3 linked regions of the Yarrowia lipolytica genome follow. The protein of the gene in region 1 purifies or fractionates together with the protein of each later gene. This does not show direct contact. Links are inferred from orthologs where the notes say so. Each region holds a gene or a part of one and is shown on either strand. Other genes may lie near its edges. The genes, in order: YALI1_F38756g, YALI1_E19494g and YALI1_C06870g.

Region 1 (8,976 bases):
TGCACTTTGCTCTGGAGAAGATGCGGAATGAGGCTGAACAGAAGCCCAAGGACGTTGCTGGACCTAGAGTTCTCATTGCTGGACCCCCCAACTCGGGCAAAACCTCCCTGGCTAAGATTTTGTTAGCCTATGCTACAAAATGTGATCGAAAGCCCATATATATTTCTTTGGATCCTACTTCGGTGAACCTGGGACCTCCTGGAGGAGTGCATGCTGTCCAAATTACAGATCTGCTAGATGTGGAAACATATGGAGGATTCGGATCATCGGAAATTTCAGGCCCTCAGAAACTACAGCCTCTTATTTTGCTCTCCAAGTACTTTGGACTTGAGAAGACTACGGATAACTTCAAGCTCTTCAAGCGGTCTGTGGCTCAGCTAGCAGTTCCCGTCCTGTCCAAACTTGCACACGACGTTGAGGCGCAAAAGTCTGGTCTCATCATCGACACTCCTCGAGTACCCGGCAACCAAAACAAAACAATCGAAGTTAACCTGCTAACGGACGTGGTGAGCGACTTTGGAGTCAACGTCATTGTCGTTATTGGCAACGATCGACTTTATGCAGACCTCATGAAGAAATACCCAGTGGGAGCCTCCGGTCCCACAGTAGTTAAGGTACCAGCATTTGCTTGCATGGATGACGATGAGAGCTACAACCGAGATGCCCAGCAACAGGAAATTCAGCAGTATTTTTATGGAGATGCTAAAGATATGAAACTTGGTCCACGAATCGTCACTGTCGATTTCTCTACTCTCCACGTTTACAAGATCAAGCCTTCCACACAGTTTGACGATGACAAGGCGGATATGCTGGAGAGGGTCGCAGAGGCCAACATTCTACCAAACACAGTACTGACGGTCATGCACGCTGTTCCTGGCTCGTCCGAAAAAGAGATTCTCGACTCAGAGGTCCAAGGTTACCTTCACGTGACGGAGGTGGACGAGGAGAAGAACAAGGTGAAGATTCTGACTCCTGTTCCTGGACGACTACCCTCCCAGGTCATGCTTCTTGGTGATACACGATACCATGAGTAATACGATAGATATATAATGTAGATAATGTATTTGTATATATGGGCCCATCGGTGCTGTAGATATAGACTCTTTTGTGTTAACTGTAGAATGATCTCACTCATTCAACACATTACTCGTACAGTATAGGCAAAAAGAGGCTACTTGTAGTGTCACAGTGGGCTTCTGTAATGTAAAGGCATTCTCCTACTGTCACGACACGTAAAATCATTAAATAATCATTAATAGTACATATATAGCTAATATACATCTCCTTACAATGCCCTTTACTTGAGAGACTGGATGAAGTTGTCCAGGTTGTACTCCTCGGTGTACTCTCCTTCGTCCCACAACTCGCCGAGATCGGCCAAAGCAGGGTTCTTCTTGCCAAGCGATCCAGTGGCATCCAAACCGGCGTCCTCGGCGTTTGCATCCGCCGCTGCGGTTCCGTTACCAGCCGCTGCCACGTCGTCGACATTAAAGAGATCAAGCAGTTGATCAGTGTCCATGGAAGAGAGACCGGAGTTCTGCTGGTTGATGACCGTGGACGCAATGTTGAGCTTGAACTTTTGCAGACCCATAATCTTCTCCTCAAGAGTGTTTCGGGTGATGAGTCGGTAGACGTTGACCACCTTCTTCTGGCCGATTCGATGGGCTCGGTCCATGGCCTGCAGATCGTTCATTGGGTTCCAGTCGTGTTCCACAAAGATGACGGTATCAGCACCAGTCAGGTTGAGGCCCAAGCCACCCACATGGGTGGTAAGAAGCAAAACATCGATGGAAGGATCAGCGTTGAACTTCTGGACAATATCGTGTCGATGTCGAGCTTCAGTAGATCCGTCCAGTCGCATAAACGTAACTGTAGGCATATACTTCTTAAAGAGCTCGTTCTCAACAATGTCCAGCATGTCCTTGAGCTGACAGAAAATGAGAGCTCGGTGCTGAGAAATAACAGGGACATCGCCTTCAGAATGTTGCTTCTTGCTGGTGCCATTCTTAGCCTCAGCTCCCTTGGTCTCTCCGATACCACAATCCAACAAAAGTCGCTGAAGAGCCTGCAGCTTGGGAGCATTGTTGATGGATTTGACACCTGTAGCTCCTCCAAACTGCTTCATGATCTTGCTAAACTTTGGATGCCGCTCATTAAGAACCAGAGCAGGGTGGTTGCACAGCTTTCGCATGTACTGTAGAGCCTGGAACACGTGCTGCTTGGACTCGACCGTCTCTGTGGTGATTTCGTTTTCGACCACAGACTTTTGCTTCTTGGCGAAGTCGCCGTACAGCTCTCGCTGTAGCTCGGATAGTTCGCAGTAGTAGTCCTGGATGATCTTAGGGGGCAGATCAGACAGCACGTCCTCCTTGAGACGTCGCAGCAGGAAGGGCAAAACCTGCTTATGCAGAGCCTCCAAAGCCAGAGCTCCCGCTTCCTGCTCCTTGGAAGAAGACTTGGAGTTTCTAGAAGAAGCAATAGGCTTGGCAAACCGCTCATTGAAAACCTTCTCGGTACCCAGGAAACCGGGCATGAGGAAGTCGAACAACGACCACAACTCAAGAACATTGTTCTGGATGGGAGTACCTGACAGAATCAGACGGTGGTTGGCGTGGATCTTTTTAACGCTCTGGGTGAGTCTGGACTGGGGGTTCTTGATGATATGGCCCTCGTCAAGAACACAGTAGTTGTATTGCTGTTTGGTGAAGACAGCATTGTCGTTTCGACAGATATCGTAGGAAGTGACCACAATATCGTACTTGTGCAGAGAGTCGGCATGCAGGTATCGCTGAGAGGGATGTCCAGCGTACATGAGAACAGACAGGAAGGGGGCATAGGTGTTGAGCTCGTGTTTCCAATGTCCAATGAGGGTGGGGGGACAGACAATGAGCGAAGGGAGAGCTCTGACTTGCGCCATTTCGCTCTTGAGGCCGTCCAGAGAGGCAGCGTCCGTGTTTCCGGCGCTCTCCAGCTCCTTGTACTTGCCCTCCAGCTCCTTGTACTTTTCAGCACGCAGATAATGATCAGACGACACAATACAAATGGTCTGCAGAGTCTTTCCGAGACCCATATCGTCACACAGAATACCGTGAAGTTGATACTTGTTGAGGAAGGCCAGCCAGTTGACTCCGTCTTGCTGATACTTTCGCAGCGTTGCCTTAATGCTGACAGGCAGAGGGAAGGGTTTGATCTTGGACACGTCCAGCATCTGCTGCAGGAACTCTCGCTCCTTGTCTCGACCCTCAAGCAGTTCCTTGGACATGCCTTCGGGGTCCGGGATACCACTTTCGAGAGGAACCAGCTTGACGATCTGGGCAAAAGTGGTGGTGGCAATCAGACGCACGTCCTGATCGGCATCTGACATACGACCCAGAATAGGAACAATCAAAAACACAACGTAGGGAAGAACATCGTTGCCCATGATGGCAGCGAGGTGGTAGATGCACTCGACAGCTCCCTGGCGTCTGTGGAGAGACAGAGGGTCGTTGAGCATAGGCAGGACGATTCGAACCAGCTCCGGAATGGCCTGAAGAGGAAGAGTGGCACAAATGGTGGCAAAACACTTCGCAGCAGCGTATCGCACCACGGCAAACTTGCTTCCCAGGTGGGTGAAGACGCTGGGCAGAATCTCCATAATCTTCGAATGCAAGTTAGTAGACAGACAGGGCACCAGAGCTCGGATAATACTCAGAGAGTCAACCACAGACTGGCCAGAGGTGTCTTCTGGAGCATAGACACTGTCCGAGTTGAGCTCCACCTTGAGAGGGTCGAACATGATGGACTCAAGCTTTTTGCACTTTTCAAACACATGGTCTCCAAACTCGACCAACATGCCCTGAAGAGCTGTCTGGGCACCCCCTCGCTTGATTCTTGCTGCCTTGACTTCTCGCTGGTGAGCAATGACGTCAGCAGGGTCGGTCTTGGCTTCCTCCTTTCGCAGGGACAGAATGTTAGACTCCACCTTTTCGTTGAAGTGAAATTCAGGTGTCTCGGAGGTGTCGACACACAGGAAGGCACACAGGTTCTTGATGATCTTGTCGGTGGCTCCGGTCTTGCCAGCAGCTCCAAACAAATCAACCAGATGCACAATCGTTGCAGCAGCTCGATCCTGCAAGATGACATGCTCCTCACCCTTGATGGAGTCCATTAGAGCTCTGATGACTCCGTTGAGCTTGGGAGGAAGGCCGCCAATATGAATAACGGCAGATGCCAACGTGCTCTGGATAGACACATCTCTCTGGGTCTTCGCCTCGTGCGCTTCCTCCATGGCCTGAGAAAGAGCCAGGAGCGAGTCCTCCATGAGCTGGCCGGAAGAAAGTCGAGCGGTAGTGGAAATAGTCTTTCTGAGCTTCGGCACGTCCACGTCAATCAGCTTCTGAGCCTGCTCCAAAGAAAAGGCCTCGGGTCCAGCGTCAGCTTCTCCCTGTACCAGAATAGGCAGCTGAGGAAGCTTGGCAGCAGTGCTGGCTCCTCCAGCGTCAGCGAAGACTCGCAGAGCAGAAAGAGCCTGCGTTCGAACAGCCTTGAGGAAAGGTGTAATGTCGGCGTACATGGCAGCAGGAGGAGGAGCAACAAGGAGCTCAGAAACAGAGGGAAGAAACAGCTTGGCAGAAGGCCCACATTCGTCAAAGATAAGAGCAGCAACTAATCGCTGGGTGGAGTACTTAGATCGAGCATACTTGTCCAGACGAGGTTGGAGACCTTGCAGAAGAGACTCGTCTCCAAGTCGAAGTAGCTGGGCAAATGCACCGGCAGACGTAACTCTGATTCGCAGGAAAACATCGTAAGGAACAATACTGATATCTCCAAGCAAAATGGGGTTATCAATGTTGACCACCAGTTGCTGACTGCCCCAATCGGTCTCCTTGTCAGTTGTCGTCTTTCGCTTGGTGTTCTTATCGACAGAGTAAATACCTCCACTGGGCTTGACAAACAGAGAGGTTTCCATCTTGTGAGAATGACGAGCCACACCAATGGGAGTCATAAGTAGAGATAAATAGCCCACAAATGGGAATTTGGTGAGTTCTTCGCTGGGAGCAGCAGCCAGCAGGGCCGTCCAAAGCTCGTGTGCCAGAGCTGTCACCGAAGGGTTCTGCTCAACCAAAAGAACCTGAAACACGAGTCTCAACAGGTGAGTGGTCACCCAGGGAGTCTTCCCATCGCCCTTACCAACACCTAAAAGAGTCAACATGGTCGTCAAGACGCTCTTTCGCACATTAGTGATGCTGTGTCGGAAGAAAGGATACAGTCTGGGGACCAGGTTTCTGAAGTCTTGACTAGGGTCCATTTCGGCATTGATCTGGAGAACATCCAAAACCCGAGGAATGGCGCACAACTTGCCGAGGAGATCCATCACGTTACCGATAGATGCACTCAGATCGTCTCTGAGATCGGTTAAACACTCCCAAAGCACGCTCATGAGCTCATTGATACGATCAGGTCTTAGAGTGATGTACTCTGAGATGACGGGGATTAGTGTGGCGGCCGAAACTGCCTGCACGTCATCATCAGACTCTCTGAGGCCACTCAGAACGGCTTCATAGAGATCGTCGAGATAGGCCTTGTCTTTGAACAGCAGGTCAGTTCGCACAGACACCAGATATCTCAGTCCAAGCATTCCTCCGTGTCGAGCTTCCCATACTGTCATGGAACCAGGTTTGTTATACTTTTGTAGCACCAGTCCATGCAAAACAGTGAAGGTAGGTCTGATCGTCTTCTCGTCCATATGCAACAGAAGAGCACCAAGGGTCTGGCCAGAGGACTCTCGAACAGGAGCAACGACCTGGTCACCCACGTAATCGCCAAATCTGTCCAGAGCAAAGATACAGCACAGTCTACATGCCAAATCTTCGATCCACTGCCGGTTTCGAGCGTCATTCTCCTCCACGGAGGAACCCCGTACCCGTCCAGCGCCCTTTCCGTGCACCTTAACCACTTCTCTCAGTCCCAGTGCGGCTCCATGTCGAGTCTCCCAGTTATCGTCGAACAGGTCGACCATTAGAAGTTCACAAAGACCCTCAAAGGGCCAAACTTTGCCTGCTCCGAGCTGAACAATGGGGGAAATGCCTTCAACCAGTAATTTGCCATCGTTTTCAGAGGTGTGAATGCCTCCAGGGGTGTCATCTTTGATAACAGTCTTTCCTCCATCCTCCTTCTTGCCACTGACGTCCACAATCCGCACTTTGTTCGCATTGTTGCCCTTTTGTAACTTGGCTCGTCTCTTCGCCATGGCTCTCAGACGAGCTGAAGAGTGTCCGTCTGCCGGAGGAGTGGGGGTGGTTTCTGTCTTGACCTCGGTCTTGATTTCTGGAGTCTCCACTTTGACCTTCTCCACCACATTGGCTTCCACCTTGACATCCGACTCGTCCAGAAGACCGTCCTCCATGTACTGACCTGCCAAGCCAAGCCGGCTATTTAACGTCTTCTTTTGCTTCTGAAGACGCTCAATGGGATCCAGGTTGGCGTACATGTCCTCATACTCTTTTCCTCCGCTTCCCAGCAGTTTGCCTCCAAACTGGATGACCTTCTCCAGATCAAATGTCTCGAAATTGAGCATGCCATCTGATAGCAGAGAAATGTCGAGGTTGGCTGAAGCCGATTCAGCACCATCCTCGGTTTTGACCTCACTCTTGACAGCCAAGTTATCAGCCAAAGCAGCATCGGAAGCCTCCTCCGCATTGGGGTCCCATTGAGGACAGTTGGCTACAATGCCTCCAATGGCACGAGCCGCCGCAATTCGTGTGTCCCATTTTTTCGACTTTAGAAACGGGAAAACTCGCCCGAGTAGATTGAATAGTTCTTCGGGATGGCTCTTTTGAACATCTGCCAGCTGGTCAGCCGCAGTATTACGCACAAATGCAGATGAGCCTGTGTCTAGTAGCAATACAAGACGATCTAATCGAGACATCTGGGTTAGTAAGCACAATACATGAGACATGTGATGTGTCTGCAGGGACCAATTGAGACAGACATGCGGCAAAAAAAGACGACTCAATTCTGCCTGTCAATCTCTCCTATCGCTCATCTTCTTTTGTTCGTCATCTTGGTCGATAGGTCTACCCTCTGATAGACTCAAAATTAAGGCTCCATTGACACCAACCAACGTGCCTTGAGCAGAACACTCCACTTGTCTCCCACACACTTCTTCCGAGAACTCACCTATAATCACAATCTCTGTTGTTGCGTCCTAAATCACACTGAATCGTCGTTGCACGCTGGTATCGTTTCGTCTGGTCGAAATATTCTTGGTTCTCGCGTTAGTACTCAAGTCATTTAGAGTTCCCACCCACGATACGCGTAGTAATCGTGGGACAGGTGTATCCAGCCAATTTCTCTCGGTTTTCCGTTGCTGATGGGCTGTATGCCTCTTTAAACCGCCTTAGAATCTTCCCCGCCGCATTTTTCGCCAATACTCACACCTTGACCGACAGTTTTGCCGAAATCCAATTTTTGCAAACTGGCGGCCCCCATCGTTAAGTACACTACTTTTATATGCGTAACGACGGCGCCAATAGAGTTCTAGGGAAAAGTTTGATATATTTTCTGGGCCGGGTAACCCCATCAAGATTGCGCTTACGTAACCCAATGGCTGTTTTTTAGAACCGTACTAAAACGAAAGCAGTTGGAGCAACACCCTGTCCAATCATACGGCGAGCATTTGTTCATGGTTTCCTGTCGGAAGTGCGCAACAATGATTTTTTGTCGACGCCACAGGATTTCTTGCTCGAGACTCCGAATACACATACATTGGTCGATTTGAGAGTGCATGTGTGCTGCGGGCCCTCCATTGAAGGTGTTACCCGGCAGATAATCCCGTCTGAGCCGACCCAGCCCACTAATTTGCTTTACTAAGGAGCTTTACGCGGGACCTTGAGCTGCGACATGATGATGCTACAACGGCTGGCAGAAAAAAAGAGCCGCCTTTAGGGTTCCAATTGAGCTGAACAATCAGAAACATGATAGCCGGAAATTACAAGTACAAGTATGAGTCTTACAAAGAAGGGAGTTATTTGGTGTGGAAATTTTTTTTGTGCCAAGTCGCCTAATACCATTTACAGCTACCATAGCTATAACCAGTTTTTGTTCCTTGCTCTAGAGAGAACGTCTGCGTAGCGTACTTACTTGGTCGTACGCAGCTCACTCCGTTTATTACTCCACCAAGTCCCAAGCGCTCCGCCCGCGATTATGCAAAATTAAAGTGCTGCGTGAGCGAGATGGAAACCATGGAACAACGTGATGCGCGGTGGGTGAGGGGTGAGGAATTCGGAAAATGTGGTCATCTAGAGTATACTTGATAGTCGGATTGGGTAAGTCATGGCTTACAGGTGGTCGACGAGTGTTCAGTCACCTCTTGTTTTCTCCCTGTCTCTATGCTATGGCTCACGTTTGGCACGTTCACGTTATCGACTAGATTAGCTATACTGTATACTGCTGTGACATGGTGTGCACTGGTGGTGCACAGGGAACCAGACAATGAGTCGACCTCCAGGAGTTTATTCACAAGCGTATAAGAGTGTTGTCGGATTGTCTTGATGGCCAGAATCTATTCCGGCATGCCTGGTCCAGATTGCACTTTTCTGCGGTGATATACACCTATCAGTTCTAGACCCTGTCCATCAAACCTGTGAGCAATAAACGCTCGAATAAAGCACATCGCTTTTTACAAGTGGTGAAAAATTTCAAGTGTGAGCTTATTTGGCAGGGTCAGGAAAAAAAGCCTAAAATGTGTCATTGGGAGCAGTAGCAATTAGTCATAGTAAGAGAGCATCGAGCATATAAAAGACTTTGGGGTCCCCCAGTTTAGTCTCTCTTTTTTTCTTTCTTCTTCTGACAGATAGATTCTCATCCACCTCTCCTCTAACACAACCAAGAATCGCTAAAAAAATGTGCGCAACAGATAACGCCCCCGCCGCTAACGCTGCTCCTGAGAAGCCCTCCAACGTTGGAGTCGAGGTCGGTCACACCGGCGAGCAGACT
Region 2 (4,191 bases), on another chromosome or scaffold:
TTGATGCCCTCCTCGTCTCGGAAAAGGAGACACGACTCGAGCAGATCGTCGTCGTCGGACTTGATGGCCTGGGTAAGAACAGTGGATAGAGATCCCATGGTCGGGGGAGCAGTTCCGGAAAGTCCGCTCTTGGTGGTCTTGTTTTCTCGCTTGAGAGCGTCCATCTTTTCGGCCAGAGTGGCAGACTCGTCGTCATCGGACTCGTCGCTTCCTACACCGTTCTCCAGCTGTGAATAGTCGTCTCCAGCAGCAATGATAGCGTCCTCCTCGTTGTAGGACACGGGCACAGTTCGCTCCTCGGTGTAGTGGTTTGCGGCGTTTTTGGGGTCGTGCACCACCGTCATGGTGGGCTCGGTCTCCAGAGCAGCCAGAGTCACGTGTGCAAACTGGGCCTGGGCCCGCTCGGTGTACGAGTAGTAGGCCTCCTTGGCGGTGAGCGCGATGGCGTCGATGACGAGGTTCTGGCCGGCAGCCTTAGTGCCCCGCTCCAGGTCCAGCGATGCAAACGAGGACTTGGTGACAATGCTCTTGCGCTTTCCCTTCTTGCTGTTGGGGGTGGATCCGTTAGTCTGGGCGAGCTGGAAGAACTCGGCGGCTCCTCCCTCTGTCAGGGCGGTGAGAATGTCGCCGTTCATGGAGACACGGTGGGCACCCGACTCGGCCATGAGCACCAGCACAATTTTCTTCTGAGCCACGTTAACCACGTTGATGAGACGGTCGCCAGCAACGGCAGCAACAAGGTCACCTCGAACACACAGCTCGGTGACAGTAGAGGTGTGCGAGGGGATATCAAACAGAGCCGAGTCAAACGAGACGGCCGACGAGTCATCGCCCTGGGGGCCGTAGACGGCGATGTTGTGGGTGGCCAGCAGCACGTTACCCGAGGGCAGAACGGCCACCAGCTTGGCGCCGGTCTTGTCCACAGATCGTTCCACAGAAGAGCCCTTCCACACGTTCAAAAGACCTCGGTTGTCAAGCGAGTAGGTGGTGCCGGAGTTGGCGTCGACGTCAAAGTCGGCCACAGGCAGAGAATGGCCGCCTCGGAGAGCAGACACAAGCTTGGCCTGGGCGGGAGAAAAAGTGAGAATGTCGCCCCGGTTGGTTCCCACAGAAACTAGATATTCCTCGGAAGAAGCAGCCGCCGAGTCCTGGGTCTTGGTCTTCTTGCGTCGAGAAGACGACGAGGCGCCCTCGCCAACGTTCTTGGTCCACTTGAGAGCAGTCACAGTGGTGCCCTTCTCCAACACAAACTCCACGGGCTGGAGACTGGCATTGGCGCCTGAGACCGCCTGGACACGGATCTTGTGCTGGTTAAGCGCACTTGTGACGCTGGCGTACTGCGTGAGAGCGGGATCGAATCGAGACAGCTGTTCCGACATGATGTGTGTGAGTTGTGGTGGAATTATCTGGCTTGCCTGATGGTTGTCCAAGTGCAGGAAAAAATAATTTAAACTCTGAATTTTTTTTCTGCATGAAAATTGACCGAGACTTGTATTGTAACAAGTACATCTGGTGTGGTAGAAGAACAGAGCAGAGAGCGTTGGAGTTGCGGGGAAGCGTGGAAACGGGGAGTTTTGGGGGGTTCCGACTCTTCGGTGTCGACCCGAAACGTGCTCGACACAAAATATCTCCTCGTATTTGCCACTATATGTCATTCTCGATGATCCACCGTAAACGAGGTTACTTTAGCATCACAACGGGGAATCGAACTGGCGCGCTGTCGAACGGTAGAGGAGTTGGCAGGCGGCGTTGGTTCGATTTTGACCTGTGCCCGGAATGGGAAACATTTAGTTGTCGTGTAAATCCTCCAAGACGAGACGGTCGCAACAAACCAACTCAACCATAGTACACCATTGTACAGGAGCTGTACAGTAGCTACACGCCCATAACGATCCCACCAATACCAGATTGACTCATGCACTAGGGTTAGTCACCGACAACACATAATCTGTTTGTCTCCAAATGCTCAACGAAATACCACACTTTGGACCAAACCGGTCCGATAGTCGTGATAAACACCCCCGGTTTACTCACTAGCCGAAAAACTGGACCCCTTGCAAGTATTTGTTGGCGTTTTAACAGCTATGTAACCCCGATGGTCTAAACTGAGCTTGTTCATTGTCACCAATGTTGTGGTTCGGAGTGCAACAGAACAACCCAAAGTCGGTTCTTGTCGCCAACAGCCGGCTGTTCCCTCCTTGGTCTCCCCCCTCCCTCCCCGCCCCCACAAAATTGCTCTGCGACGTCTCATTGAGTCTGAGCTACGTCTCATTGAGTCTGTGCTACGTCTCATCGAGTGTTTGCCATCACGTGACGGGCCCAAAAAAAAAAGGTTTCTCTTTGAGTTCCCGCATTTTAAGCTCATTCTGGAACCTTAAACGGGGTAGTAGTTGGATGATGGATGAGAATGAATTGACTGACAAACTTGTACGTGTTTTGAGGGAACAGGGTTGGTTGCCCAAAGGCACCAAAATCAACAGATTAAGAGTGGGAAATACAATTCTTGGGGCGTGGCTCTGGGGGGGGTATGTAGGATCACGTGACCTGGCTGGATCGGTGGCGCCGTTCTCCCAGTGCGACTTGCACTTTCCTGTAGGGTGGCTATCACTGTTTACGACTCTTGAACTCTATCTTTGGGAGCTCGAAAAATATATAAACATGCATAAAGCATACAAGGCGCGTAAGAGCGACGAGTCCACCACGGCACAACCACACGTTTACCACAACATACACGCAGTGAAATGAGCGACAGAGAAACTTCAGGGAATGACGACCTTTCGTTGCCCAAGGGTGAGTAGAGCCGGAGGGGGGGTTGTGTTTGTGTTTGTGTTTCTGTTTGTGGGGGGTTGAAAGTTGTGGGTCGGTTATTAACCCAGCCACGGTGCAGAAGATAGTGAGCGAAATCATTCCGTCAGACCTGGCGTTTGCCAAGGACACCCGCGACGTGTTGATCGAGTGCTGCATCGAGTTCATCATGATGCTGAGCACCGAAAGCAACGAGATTGCCGAGAAGGAGAGCAAGAAGACGATTGCGCCGGAACATGTCATCAAGGCTCTGCAGGAGCTGGGATTCATAGACTACATTGAGCCCATCAAGGACCTGATTGTGGAGCACAAGGAGGCGCTCAAGTCGCGGGAGAAGAAGGTTGGAAAGCTGGAGCAGTCGGGCATGACCGAGGAGGAGCTGTTGAGAAAGCAGGAGGAAATGTTTGCTGCCGCCAGAAGCAAGCTCAACAACAACGCATAGGGTGGGGGAGGGGGACAATGAGGTGGCGACACCAAACGGTTGGATAATGGGATAATGGGATAAATGGGCTGGTTAGGACAATGTGTGCTACATACAGGATAGTCTACGTGTGGTCGATGTGACGACAGTTGCATCCACGAAACGTACTAATTGATACTGTGGTGTTGGCTCTATGTCAACATCTTTTGGCATGGTGATCTAGAGTAGCGGCCGAGCCGGTTCCGCGGGTGTATATAGATGTATCATATTTGATTTGCATAGGCACCTTTTGGATTGGATTGGATTGGATTTCACCAAGACCAGTCCTTTTTTTTTTTTTTTTTTTTTTTTTTTGAAAAAACAAAAAAGGGAAAATATTTTTTTCTTCTGCATTTATTTCCAAAAAAACTCGGCTGATGAACAAATAGTTGAGTTTACAGTTGAGATTTACTTGACAAAAACATTGTTTTTGGCCTCGATCTGAGACACGCTACAACTCGGCGAGCATCGATATTTTCACAGATTGGACCCTGTACATATAAGCACAGTACCAACAGCCCCTCTGACACCTCTCAAGCGTTTGTAGCTCTTTTCAACCAGCCATTTTAGCACATGTCTGTGTCTGCGACTTTGGTTTCTTTTCTGAAAAACTATTGCAACTTCTTGGGCAACAGCAAGCAGTGACCGCGAAAATGCACGTATAACAAAGGGTACAGGAGTCCAAATCTATTTTTTGAAAGTAAAAAATAAAATGCCAGACTCGTGTGTATCCGACGATACAGCTCTCGCGCCCTGTGCATTGTATTATATGTTTCTACAGCCAAACCAAAAGTGCCCCAGCAGCCTACATTGAATTTCCCTTGATGCGTTACCCTACCTTCAACGCTAAGGTTAACGTAACCCATCAAAATATAGGGAGGTATGGAAAAAAAAAAAGGTAGCATTACATTGCACCGAGTGTCCAC
Region 3 (4,867 bases), on another chromosome or scaffold:
TTGCCAACACTGGTTGCAGTATCACTGCTAAGGGCGAGTACTATCCTCCTGGTCGTATTCCCGGACCCAAGGATGAACCCAAGCTGTTTATTCTCATTGAGGGTACCAGTGAGCGGGCGGTGAAACTGGCTCATCATGAGTTGTCGGAGCTTCTGGTGAGTGGTTTGGTTAAGGGCGCTAGGTATCAGGTGTAGACGATACCAAGGGGGGGTCAAACTTTGTAGGACCGAGTATGGAATGGTCCATGTACGAGTAGGAAGATGTATATATTATAACGATTGACGAATGAAGCGGTTGAGAGGCAGAAAGTATTCCACTTGTTCCAGTATCTACGGTACAATAACTAAGGAGTAACCATTAGTTCTCAGTCAGACTTGGCTATGGTGTCATGGTGTACACACTATTGGACTGTTGCTGAGTTTTCATTTGGAGATCTCTCAGGAGCTGGATCTTTTCTCATGCTCTCGTTGTATAACGATGTTTCAACCTGAACCCCGTTATCACCACCCTTCACCATTGCACCCCACCAATCGTTAAAATAATACATTCCTATATAATCCTTCTAGTCTCAGATGGCGCGTAACCATCCACATGAGTCGTCCTAGCCCCTTGTTGTTATTGTTGAGTCGTTGAGCATCTCTCCACAAGAAAGCATCGTGGAGACAATGTAGCCGCAGACAACACAATGGCAACACTGCAGAATCTCGGGAATCACAGTAATCACATGAGTCGCCCACTAATCATAAATCAATGGCTCCTCGACTTTCTCTGTCTTCATCAATTCGGTCCGGTTCTTAGCCTTCTCCTTGGCCAGCTGCTGACTGAGTTTGCCACCCTTATTCTGGCCCTGGGCCCGGGCCTCTGCGGCGCGTGCGGCGGCCTCCTTGGCGTCCAGCGTTTCGGCTGTGCCTCCCAGAGTGTGTCCTGGCGAGTTGTATGTGTTTGTTGGCTGTTTGGGCGGTTGTTTCTTGAGTGGGATGTTTTCCGTCTTTGCTGGTTTGGCAGGCTTAGCCGCTGGTGGTGCTCGTCCTGCGGTCCTGCCCGACGTGGACGCGGGCTCGCTCTTGCTGAAACACGAACCCATCGTTGTAGTCGGCGTCAAGTGTGTGTGGAGTGATGATGTGCGGGTTTAAGAGTGGAGTGCATGACCATGCGTGGAGGGGAATAGGGGTAGTTGCTGTGGGGGGGAGGAGGAGTGAGAGAAAAAAAGAGAAAAGTGCGATGGGAATAAAAGAGTGGTAAAAACTGACTGTATTTTTCAGAATTCAAATTGATGAAGATTTCGTCATGTTTGAAACACCTGATGATTTCGATAGAGCAGCCCATTGAACCTTGATAGTGGCATTTGAAATGAGTGTAGAAAAGGCAGTGGTGGACTTATAGATCCAGGAACTAAAAATATACATCAATGGTAGTTAGTTTTACAGATTTATCTATGTAGAAATGTGATATGACCAGAATTTCAAGAGATATTGACACTCTCTACTTACTTGACAGGAGGTTAATATTTCAACTATTTCAGAGGCTATTGTTGAAACTTTCAAGTATAACAATAGCTCGAAAGAGTGCATTGTTCTTGCTCCATTTTCAACAGATTTAAATGAAATTAAAAAGGAGAGTATTTTAATTCTGGTGAAAGTCAAATACATGTCTAATATTACAATAGGAGCCATTACTCCTGGACTTTTGGCTACCCCAAAACCAACTCTTCGTGCAAAAATTAAGGTTCCATGACTACCTTATACAACGCCCTCATAACCACTCTTTAATTCTCTTTTTTGACAGATATTTCTTTTGACGAGCAACTCACAAACTTCCTTAGCTGATTCCATCTACTTACCGTCGATATACCGCTCTCACAACCCCCCGATATCGCAGAAGACAAACTCCCCATCAACACTTTCCAAACTCTAATTCCAACCTCCATCATCACAAGGTCAATATCACCACTTGCAACCCACACAACATGTCCATCAACTTTTCCCACACCCTGTGGTCTCCCAGTGACACGGTCAAAGACGTGGCCGAGACTCTGGGCATCTCCAATCTGCCCGATGACGTGGCCAAAACGCTTGCCATGGACGTGGAATACCGAATCCACGAGGTGATTGAACAGGCGCTCAAGTTCATGCGACACTCGAAACGAACGACTCTGGGGACCTCCGACGTGGGCGAGGCTCTTCGAGCGCTCAACGTGGAGCCCCTTTACGGCTACGAGGGCGTGGCCAACGAAAAAAGCGTGTCTTACAGAGAAGCCATCACCGGACCAGGACAAACGCTGTACTATGTGGATGACGATGAGGTGGACTTTGAACGGCTCATCAACCAACCGCTGCCTAAGGTGCCTCGTGCCACATCACTGACAGCTCACTGGGTGGCGATCGATGGAGTGCAACCTGCCATCCCACAAAACCCCCTGGCCAGCGACATCAGAGCCATGAGTGTTGATCTGAGAGGCGCCCAGACCACCAACAACTCGATCGCCACCATCAACGGCTCGTCGGACGTCAAGGTGAAGCCTCTCGTCAAACATGTGCTGTCCAAGGAGCTGCAGCTGTACTTTGACCGTGTGGTGGGTGCACTTATGGACGGCTCGGAAGTGGTTGTCACTGCTACCGGAGACGAGAAGGAGGCTGCGGTCAAGCAACATGCGGCTGCTCTTTCTTCTCTGCGAAACGACCCCGGATTCCACCAGTTGGTGCCCTACTTTGTGCAGTTTGTGGCCGAAAAAGTCACACATAACCTCAAGAACCTGCCCGTGCTCTACACTATGCTGCAGGTAATTGACGCACTGCTGACTAACCCCACGCTGTTCATGGACCCCTACATTCACTCACTGATGCCCTCTGTGCTGACTTTGATTCTCGCGAAGAAGATTGGTCCCAAGCCCGGCCATGAGGACATTGTGGAGGACTCGCAGGTGACCATTTCTCAGTACTCGATTCGTGACTTTGCTGCATCTCTTCTGGCACGAATCTGCGACAAATACAACGAGATCTACGCTTCTCTCAAGCCCAGAGCCATCCGAACGCTACTCAAGGCATTCATGGACCCCACCAAGCCGATACCCACTCTCTATGGCGCTCTCCAGGGCATTCAGGCGCTTGGTAATGAGGCCGTTCGTGTGGTCATTGTAGGCAACCTGAAGCTGTGGAGTGATACACTTTACAACCGGCTGTTGAAGTCGTCGTCGGACTCTACTTTGGAGCTGGAGCAGCTCAACAAGTGTTTGATTTCGGCTCTGCGACAGATCAAGGGCCAGGCCATCTACCCCGATCAAGAGCTCACTGAGCAGGAGATTGATCGATGCAAGGAGCTGGTGGGAGACAAGGTGTATGAACTGATTGAGAAGCTGGACGATTCACAGCAGGTTGTTCATGGATTGGTGGATTTCGAGGGTAAGCAGGTGGAGTAATGGGTGGATAGCGAGCAAGAGAGAGAACTGCACGCGCATGGAAAAGGGGGACCCCAGTGTATAGATAGTTCTGAATGTATTTTTTATATGATCACGGTGGAGGAATATGAAGGATGGGTGTATACGACTATCTGTGAGTTCCTAGGGATTGTACTGTATGATCGTGCTACGAGCATTATAACCTTGATGAGATGGTCTAGTGGTTTTGTAGACCCGAATGTCGTAATTTCATGATATCGTACTTGTAGTTCAGCATGTGAGTAAGAGGAAGCCAGTTGGTCGAAATCGTATTTGGACTCTAGCTACTGTACATACCAACTAAAGCATAGTCCTTGATACTGTGTAGAAGGCTTTTTTGTCTTCTCTACGAAGCTACCAGTACATTCTTGACTTATAAACGGTGAGAACAGTGTTATCTAAACTTGTTTCAACATTGTCGACCAGATCTAGCCAAAATACGATCATAGAGCACGTGACTGTTTCAGCTCGGTGAGATTGATGAAGGGACCCCCGCCCATTCTGGTTACCTGTCTTCGATCTTGCTCTCAACTTCCTGAGTCGATGGTTGCTACAGTATCGGATCAGGGTGGTGAGCGAGGAGCAGGTGAGCACTTGGACAAACTAATTAGTGGCTTGTTGTTTGCCAGCAATTATGTATACCTGCAAACCTCTCTTAGACGGGGTATACTTTCTGCGCACCTGCAAGCAAGAGTGGTGATAGACATGGGCTCTTTTATGGCGCTTTTATGGCTCTTTTGGGAGTATTCATGTCTCACAATTGCATCTGGTGTCTTCCCATCGTCTTACAATGGCGTTAAACCAATTGGCATGGGCATAGAAGAGCAGCAAGAGATACAACTGATAGTGCTCTCTGGTTCTGGTCTGGTGTCGTACTTACTGATTTCTTCATCGCATGGTACTTTGCTGAGCTCAAACGAAGTGAGCGTTGACCAGAATCATTCTATATCTACTAACGAGACAGACATGGAGATATTTCGAGTGAGATGATGGTTCAACACAATGCACCACCTTCTGCCGCTATGAGCTGCTTGGATATTGAGTGGTTTTGCACCCTTGTCAAGTGTTGTACCTGGTGTCTCTTGTCTTTGAGAGCTCAACTGTGGAGGGACTGTCAAAAGGATACAAGCTAAGGGTGCTGTGCCCATTGGACCTGTTGCGCCAGTGTAGCACTGAACAGTGTTGCCAGGTGTTGTAGCAAGGTCTGATAGGTGCGCTCATAATCCAAAAACCTGAGACTGGTGTTTCTACACCCCCAGTTGTTGCCTTGGAACGACCGACAAGAAGAATCTCGTCTTGGGATATCCCCCAGGATGGGTGAGAACATGTTGTCCTTCTGTTTCCAGCCTGCTCGTTCGGTTCAAACCATCATGAAGAAATTGTCCCTCACTTGTTCAGTCTTCAACCACCTCAAATCTGTCACGACGGGATCGC

What was found.
Region 2: the proteins of YALI1_F38756g (region 1) and YALI1_E19494g purify together in Saccharomyces cerevisiae (affinity purification with western blotting; 3 studies listed by BioGRID, with this or other methods). This does not show direct contact. The link is inferred for Yarrowia lipolytica from reciprocal best matches to the Saccharomyces cerevisiae genes MOT1 and NCB2.
Region 3: the proteins of YALI1_F38756g (region 1) and YALI1_C06870g purify together in Saccharomyces cerevisiae (affinity purification with western blotting; 3 studies listed by BioGRID, with this or other methods). This does not show direct contact. The link is inferred for Yarrowia lipolytica from reciprocal best matches to the Saccharomyces cerevisiae genes MOT1 and TAF6.

What each region holds. Positions count from the first base shown.
Region 1 is NC_090775.1:3,868,762-3,877,737, forward strand, and holds YALI1_F38756g (uncharacterized protein), read right to left. Parts: upstream 6,938-8,976; coding exon 1,298-6,937; downstream 1-1,297. Other genes in the region: YALI1_F38684g (uncharacterized protein), read left to right, coding at 1-1,034; YALI1_F38776g (uncharacterized protein), read left to right, coding at 8,884-8,976. UniProt on the Saccharomyces cerevisiae protein: Regulates transcription in association with TATA binding protein (TBP). Removes TBP from the TATA box via its C-terminal ATPase activity. Both transcription activation and repression require its ATPase activity.
Region 2 is NC_090774.1:1,946,683-1,950,873, forward strand, and holds YALI1_E19494g (uncharacterized protein), read left to right. Parts: upstream 1-2,741; coding exon 2,742-2,790; intron 2,791-2,876; coding exon 2,877-3,247; downstream 3,248-4,191. Other genes in the region: YALI1_E19483g (uncharacterized protein), read right to left, coding at 1-1,655; YALI1_E19488g (uncharacterized protein), read left to right, coding at 2,128-2,745; YALI1_E19508g (uncharacterized protein), read left to right, coding at 4,148-4,191. UniProt on the Saccharomyces cerevisiae protein: Component of the NC2 complex which represses RNA polymerase II transcription through binding to SPT15/TBP and thereby inhibiting the assembly of the preinitiation complex.
Region 3 is NC_090772.1:684,185-689,051, reverse strand, and holds YALI1_C06870g (uncharacterized protein), read left to right. Parts: upstream 1-1,966; coding exon 1,967-3,415; downstream 3,416-4,867. Other genes in the region: YALI1_C06917g (uncharacterized protein), read left to right, coding at 1-194.